Linked DNA regions of Arabidopsis thaliana. The protein of the gene in region 1 interacts with the protein of each later gene in a pairwise test. Each region holds a gene or a part of one and is shown in the gene's direction. Other genes may lie near its edges.

Region 1 (4,087 bases):
TTGGAGTGTGCCACAAGAAAATAAGAAATGGACAAAGTAAAGGTATTCTTCATATTTACGGCAAAATATACGGTGACCACCTATAATTGTAATTATAACTCGAATTTTGGTCTCTAACTTTAGAACGAGTCCTTTAATCATTGGTCCTTCAACCAAAAATGCATATATATTTCATTAGAAAAACTATTTGAAGAGATCACCTTACGTTTAAGCCAACTTGCTTTCGTGTTAAGCTTATCAAAGACTTGATATTTAGTTATTTACTAATATTCTTGTCTTGGCGAAAACATCATCTACTTTAAGAGAGGAACGAACTAAGTATATAACCCAAAATTGGGAAAAGGAAGAAGAAAAAAAGAAAAAGAAGTAGCAATTGAGTGTTTGGTGTAATATATCCAGTTGAGTTTATTCGCTTTTGTACTTTTTTTGCTTTAAAAATATTTTGAGTTGGAGTTTGCTTCTTTGACTGATCAATTGAATCTCTCGCTCCCCAAGCCAAAGAAAGAACACAAGATGTTGCTTTTGATCATTGCCAAGAATCTCACTTCGTAATTCTCTTTAACTTTACCCTTTTTATTTTCGTTCTTAGCTTAAACAGTACTATTTCACCTTAGTTTCTATCATCTTTAAAAAATAATAATAATAATTCTACTATCTTAAGTTCTTAACATATATATTTTCATATATACATTTTTATGTCTAAGAAGCTTCAATATTAGATCTACTGTTTTCAATTCCCTGGTCCAATAGTAGTGATGACTGACATTGTTCTAAAACGACAAATAACTAAAGACTTCTCTAAATTTGGTTTTTGAAAGTATATATGTATATATGCATGGTAGTTCCACATTATCTTCTCTACCCGAAATTCAGATTTGACAACAAATATACATAGTTCAATATTTTTGTTATGGTGATCGATATCAAAATAGAAAATGAATGTTTAGACGAGGGATGAGTGAAAGGAGCTTGGTAATCTAAGAGAGACAAGATCCTTAGAAAACCGTGACATTGTCACTCACGTGGGCCTCTTTTGACCAACCCCGTCCGACACTAAAACTGCAGATACACAACACTTATCATTATTACTTTATTGTATCGGCACTAAGAGCATCTCCATTGGTGATAAATGGAGATGTCTTCCCAGTTTTTTAATATTTAATTAAAGACACAAATGAAGAAAGAGAAACAAAAATGTCTTTAACCAGACACTGAAGACATCTTTGAAGACCCTCTTGAACTATGTGTAATATTCTGATTGGTTTTGATTTTCTTAGTTTAATATTTAGATGGTCTCAGATGAAGTTGTCCAATGAAGATGGTCTAAAAGATATTATTTCATAAGATCTTTTAAGTTCATCAAAATATATAAATGCCAAATCTACTGTATTTTTCTTACTAATGTTAAACTACCTTTACTAGTGTGCTTGTATTCACTTTTATTTGAAACAAACATCAAAAGGAGACTACTCATTTCATGTATTGTTTACATGGAAAACTTGTTTTGAAGATATCCAATAAAAATGAAACGAGTCGGAGATAAACTACGTTTTCTAAGGCGAGGAATAGGATTAGTAAAAATATCATGAATTTAAATTTGGATGTAAACAACTGAAATAAATATACTCTTGGTTGATGTCAGTGTGGAATTCTTGCGACTTGCGAGCACACATAACTCGCCGACGAAGTCTTATTGCTTACTGTATCAAATCGGCGTCGAAAATAGAATTGTCGAATAATTTGTCTTCCATACCAAGAAACTCCGACAAAAATAATATTCAATGATTTAAAGCCCTAGAGAATATTCATTTTCATTGTAGAATTGTTGCTTTCTTTAGATAAAGTAACAAATAATGTAATCTGCACTACATTAATAGATTCGATCACATTTAGCTACCACAGACCAAATTCCCTTTTGTCGTTACTTAAGTTTCCAACTGTCTATATATATGTACCATGTCTCAGTTTGTAACTTGTAACTTAAATCACAAAGCCACCAAAACAACACGCATATCTCTATCCATTTTTTTTCTCTCTATCTGTAGTCTTCAATTTCATGATGGGATACCAAACAAACTCTAATTTCTCCATGTTTTTTTCCTCGGAAAATGACGACCAAAACCACCACAACTACGATCCTTATAATAATTTCTCTTCATCAACTTCTGTTGATTGCACTCTCTCACTTGGAACACCCTCTACTCGTCTCGACGACCACCATAGATTTTCTTCTGCTAATTCTAACAACATCTCCGGCGACTTTTATATTCACGGAGGAAACGCTAAGACTTCTTCGTACAAGAAGGGTGGTGTTGCTCATAGCCTACCTCGCCGTTGTGCTAGCTGCGACACCACTTCAACTCCTCTATGGAGAAACGGACCAAAAGGACCTAAGGTAATTAATTAATAGATCATGTACGATCAGATAATGTGATAAGTGTCAATGCCGAGATGACCATAGGTCCATAGATAAATATGCCTAATGAAAATAGTACATGGATTGTTGAAAAAGTATTTAGATTGTAATGAAAGTAAAAAAGTATGATTTTGGCAATTCAAAACTTCAAAAAACTCAAACTGTTATATACCATGCGGAACTATTCTATGAAAAATTACTATTATTTTTCTAATCAAATTTTGTAACATCATATACTTTCTTGGTTGTTTTATATTTTTTTTTTCCATAAATACATTACCCTAAACTATTTTTATTTTTATTTTTTTGTTAATAAACTTTACCCTAAACCATAAAACAAAATAAGTGATTTCTTTTTAAATCTTTTTAATTCAAGTTGTATAAAGTCTATAAAGTTGTTCCCTAATATTTATTATACAATCTCCATATAATCACATGTCTATAATAACTACATTTTCAAAGATATTTTGGATGTAACATATACAATGTTAACTTGGTGCAGTCGTTATGTAACGCGTGTGGAATCCGATTCAAGAAAGAGGAGAGGCGTGCGACGGCCAGAAACTTAACGATCTCCGGTGGAGGTTCATCAGCGGCAGAAGTCCCAGTAGAGAATTCGTACAACGGAGGTGGAAACTATTACAGTCATCATCATCATCACTATGCCTCGTCGTCGCCGTCGTGGGCTCATCAGAACACACAAAGAGTTCCATATTTCTCACCGGTTCCGGAGATGGAATATCCCTACGTGGATAACGTCACGGCTTCTTCTTTTATGTCTTGGAATTGAGTGTCACGTGAGCAAGTCCGACTTCGATCGCCTTCTTTACCATTTTGACGAGATGAAGAAGAAACGTTAATTATATAAATCATGATGATGATGATGAAAAGTTAATTATCATAGATTCTATCACACAAAGTAAAACCAGTCTTGGTCAAATTCATTATTGTTATAGTTTTTTTTTTCGACTCTAGCTACTTGTGTTTTCTTTTCACGACTTTTTTGAAAGCTATATTGGTGTTAATGATAAATACGTAGTTTATAACCCTTTTCATGATGTTTCCACTTACTTTGACCGTATATGATACATATATTTCAACTTTACTTCATATCGTCTTTTTAAGTCTTTAACATTTTTCGATGCAACGTTAAGTGATCTAGTTTTGCTTCTTTTTAGCAAATACAAATACCGTCCTCGCATTTTATTTCATATCATATGAATGCAAAATTAGCCAAAAGGGTATTGTTACTTAAATTTGGCGGATTTTCTAGCTCTTTTCTTGGTTCCTACACAAAAAAAAAAGTATTTAAAAGACAAGTTTGAGAATTGAGATCACTTATAAGGGAGACAAATCTGAGTGAAACAATTAGTGAGGGGTCATGAGGCAAAGTAATGTAAGTGGAAATTACTTGCTAAAAATCTGTTCCGGGAAGAGTGAATTTCAAACTCCTAATGAAATGTTTTTCTATCTACAATCTTGGATACTATAATTGTTGAAAGAGCTTGTAGTAATGGTAATTATGTCTTTGGTGAGTATAAAATAAAGTCAACTGCTTCAGAACATTAACATGTTCTTGACAAATAACATAAAAATATGCTTCCCACCTCAGCAAATATTTACCCAAAATCTCTTGCAAGTCGTTCTGTTTTTGGGTTTTAAAAAGATTAA
Region 2 (4,070 bases), on another chromosome or scaffold:
CAGTTTCCTGTTTTAAGAGAGGTATCAGATAATAACTTGTTTGTTACATTTAAATTTGTGATGGCAGGTACTTTATCAATACTAAATAAGTCTATTTTTGTTTTTTTCAAGCCTCCACAATCTTTTCTTACAACAATGGAGGAATATATGAGAGACGCACCTCAGATGGTCGACGTCACATCTGGGCCACTGGTACATATATACTCTCATTGTGGTCCTACTCCTACAGAAACCATGATTTTTCTTTTATAACTTATTTCTAAAAACTTTGTCAACATACAGCTTCTGACCTATACGCCTGATGATGGTCTTACTTCTGAAGATGTTGGACCTTCACATGAAGAACATGAAACATCATCGCCTTCAGATAGTGCCGTTGTTCCCTCTGAAGAAACGCAACTTTCTTCCCAGTCTCCTCCTTCAGTAGAAACTCCACAGAACTTCATTGATACTGATGATCTATTGGTAAATTATGCTTATTACATATGGTCTTGATTTCTTTATTCTGTCATTGTTATCCTTTTGTCTCTGATTCTCTCAGTATTACACACAGGGTCTGCATGATGATACACCTGATCCGTTAGCAATCCTGGACCAAAATGCACTAGCTTTGGCCTTAGTTTCCAATGATGGTGAGCTTCTTGGTCTATGTACTGGAGCTCTAAGTTTGCCTTTCTTGCTTGTCTTTAGTCGCAATTCTGGTTATGTTTCTGTTTCCAGTTGATTCTTCGCCGTTTAGTTTTGGGCAAGCAAGAGATTTGGATCCGTCAGGATGGGAGCTTGCGTTGGTCACAACACCTAGCAATGATATATCTGCAGCCACAGAGAGACAGCTGGTAAGATGTATTCTTGTATTAGTGATAATGGGATGCATCAATTACGTACCATTGTCCTGTTAACGTATGTCACCTCTGGGGAATTGATTTTGTGGCTTCTGAATCATTAACATTTTTTTCTGCAACAAATGCAAGGCGGGTGGATTAGACACGCTCACCCTGAACAGTCTATATGACGATGGAGCCTTGAGAGCAGCCCAACAGCCTGCCTATGGCGTCCCAGCTTCCAATCCGTTTGAGGTCCAAGACCTGTTTGCATTTTCAGACAGTGTTTCACCGCCTTCAGCCGTAAACAACCCATTCGGTCTCTATGAGCCAACCTATCATCAACAAGAGCAGCAGCCACAGCTACAGGTTGCACCCAGCCCTGCAAATCCTTTTGGTGATTTTGGGGAGTTTCCAATAGTTCCGGTTTCAGAACCACAAAGCACCACCAGTTTTGGGGCATTTCCAGTACCGGTTTCAGAGCCGTCAAACACCACCGGCTTTGGGGAGATTCCAGTAGTCCCGGTTACAGAACCGCCAAACACCACCGCGTTTGGGGAATTTCCAGTGGTGCCGGTTTCAGAACCACAAAACATCACTGGGTTTGGGGCATTACCAGTAACCCCGGCTTCAGAACCATCAAACACCACCGGTTTTGGGGAATTTCCAGTAGTGTCGGTTTCAGCACCACAAAACACCACTGGGTTTGGGGCATTACCAGTAATCCCGGTATCAGAACCGTCAAAGACCACCGGTTTGGGGGAATTTCCAGTAGTCCCGGTTTCAGAACCGCAAAACACCACGGGTTTTGGGGAGTTCCCGGTAAACGCAGGTGCTCATGAGCAACATAACAGCAACAACCCCTTCGGCAGCACGGGCTTCTTGTGATCCCATCTTCGTATATTTCTCAAAATGCTTTATTTGTCTCATATGATTCTATTGTTTGTGAGTAGTAATAAAATCACATCATCTTCTAGTCTTGCAAATCTTGTTCTGCTAATAGAGAAAGACTCCTCGGGATTGATTATATAAATGAATTTTCATTGGTGGAAAAAAAATGAAAGATATATATAACTCATTGTGTTACATTAACAAAATAATTTGAAATATGATTAGCAAAAACGCTACGTAGTATGTCGTTTTCTGTTCTAGTAATCCAGCTAGGCTGAACCAATGGCCATTCGTTGAATAAAAAAGGAAGATTGGAGGAGAATTAGGTAATTTAAGGGTAATAGTCAGCAGAAGTCATTCCCATATGTCCACGTCAGTAATCCTGCTCGAGAAAGCTGCTATAAACTCAGAGCCGTTGGATCAACCCGTAAGTTTGAAAACCCCAACCGTCAGATCAACACTACAAGTTAATATGAGAATAATGAGAAAACCACTTTCCCAAATTGCTTTTTAAAATCCCTCCTCACACAGATTCCTTCCTTCATCACCTCACACACTCTCTACGCTTGACATGGCCTTCGATCTCCACCATGGCTCAGCTTCAGATACGCATTCATCAGAACTTCCGTCGTTTTCTCTCCCACCTTATCCTCAGGTGAAGTACACCCCTAAAATCTCTCAATCTCTCTCAATTTAGTTTCTGAAATTTTGGTTGAAATTTGTGTTTAGATGATAATGGAAGCGATTGAGTCCTTGAACGATAAGAACGGCTGCAACAAAACGACGATTGCTAAGCACATCGAGTCGACTCAACAAACTCTACCGCCGTCACACATGACGCTGCTCAGCTACCATCTCAACCAGATGAAGAAAACCGGTCAGCTAATCATGGTGAAGAACAATTATATGAAACCAGATCCAGATGCTCCTCCTAAGCGTGGTCGTGGCCGTCCTCCGAAGCAGAAGACTCAGGCCGAATCTGACGCCGCTGCTGCTGCTGTTGTTGCTGCCACCGTCGTCTCTACAGATCCGCCTAGATCTCGTGGCCGTCCACCGAAGCCGAAAGATCCATCGGAGCCTCCCCAGGAGAAGGTCATTACCGGATCTGGAAGGCCACGAGGACGACCACCGAAGAGACCGAGAACAGATTCGGAGACGGTTGCTGCGCCGGAACCGGCAGCTCAGGCGACAGGTGAGCGTAGGGGACGTGGGAGACCTCCGAAGGTGAAGCCGACGGTGGTTGCTCCGGTTGGGTGCTGAATTAATCGGTACTTATGCAATTTCGGAATCTTTAGTTACTGAAAAATGGAATCTCTTAGAGAGTAAGAGAGTGCTTTAATTTAGCTTAATTAGATTTATTTGGATTTCTTTCAGTATTTGGATTGTAAACTTTAGAATTTGTGTGTGTGTTGTTGCTTAGTCCTGAGATAAGATATAACATTAGCGACTGTGTATTATTATTATTACTGCATTGTGTTATGTGAAACTTTGTTCTCTTGTTGAACAATTATTGCTGCTTTGATTTCATTTTCACACTTAATAATGAGGGGAAAACTATGTAATTGGTAATGCTAAACATTCATTATTGTCACTAATTTAATTATGCTACAGTTAGCAGAAGAAAGAATCACTGTGGAATCAGCGCGGGAGTTGAAAATTTCAAAGGGAATTCAATTAGAAAAATCTGTGAAGCGAATGTGTGTAATCATTATCAATAGGGATTGAAATAGAAACTGTGAACAGAGTATGGAAGCTTTTTGGCATCCCCGTGAACAAAAAGGACAAAACCTTGTTTTCGTAAAGATTTTAGAGTGGGCCACTAATAGACAAACTTTGGGGTCATAGTCAGATGTTCTAATCATCTCACGGGTTTCAGTTCCCCTTAGACATGATGGCCAAAATTCATCCATATCATATCCAAATTCATCAAAGAAAAAAAAAAAAAAAAAAAAACCAGGTTCATGTATCAAATTTACTCATCAAAACCATGTATAATTATCTTCATTACTCATATAGCACACACCATATAAACACATATGACATATATTAATATTAATACAATCAAACATAGATTAATGTATAATTTGAACACCCAAACTCAGAGTTCTAACTCGGTTTCAAAGCCTCGAATACACATTATAAACTAAGCACACAACTTAACACATATATATATACAAGTGTTTTTATAACTTTAGGAATTTCAAGACCTAGCTTAGTTAGTTAGGCTCCATTGTTGGCGTAGGTATTAACGAGAGCGAGCGCATTACTCGTGAACCTCTTGACGTCGGCGACTCTATCGCAAATAGCCGTCTTCGTCTCTCCGTCTTCCATCTCCTCCGTGACCCCATCCGTACACGT

What was found.
Region 2: the proteins of GATA20 (region 1) and HMGA interact in a two-hybrid assay, tested with the Arabidopsis thaliana proteins (one large-scale study listed by BioGRID).

Annotation. Positions count from the first base shown.
Region 1 is NC_003071.7:7,981,987-7,986,073, reverse strand, and holds GATA20 (GATA transcription factor 20), read left to right. Parts: upstream 1-1,947; 5' UTR 1,948-2,056; coding exon 2,057-2,395; intron 2,396-2,918; coding exon 2,919-3,206; 3' UTR 3,207-3,518; downstream 3,519-4,087. UniProt on the Arabidopsis thaliana protein: Transcriptional regulator that specifically binds 5'-GATA-3' or 5'-GAT-3' motifs within gene promoters.
Region 2 is NC_003070.9:5,137,567-5,141,636, reverse strand, and holds HMGA (high mobility group A), read left to right. Parts: upstream 1-2,169; 5' UTR 2,170-2,283; coding exon 2,284-2,367; intron 2,368-2,441; coding exon 2,442-2,972; 3' UTR 2,973-3,521; downstream 3,522-4,070. Other genes in the region: AT1G14910 (ENTH/ANTH/VHS superfamily protein), read left to right, coding at 1-21, 112-192, 283-465, 554-632, 721-836, 972-1,709; AT1G14890 (Plant invertase/pectin methylesterase inhibitor superfamily protein), read right to left, coding at 3,933-4,070. UniProt on the Arabidopsis thaliana protein: Binds A/T-rich DNA with a highly dynamic distribution into the nucleus.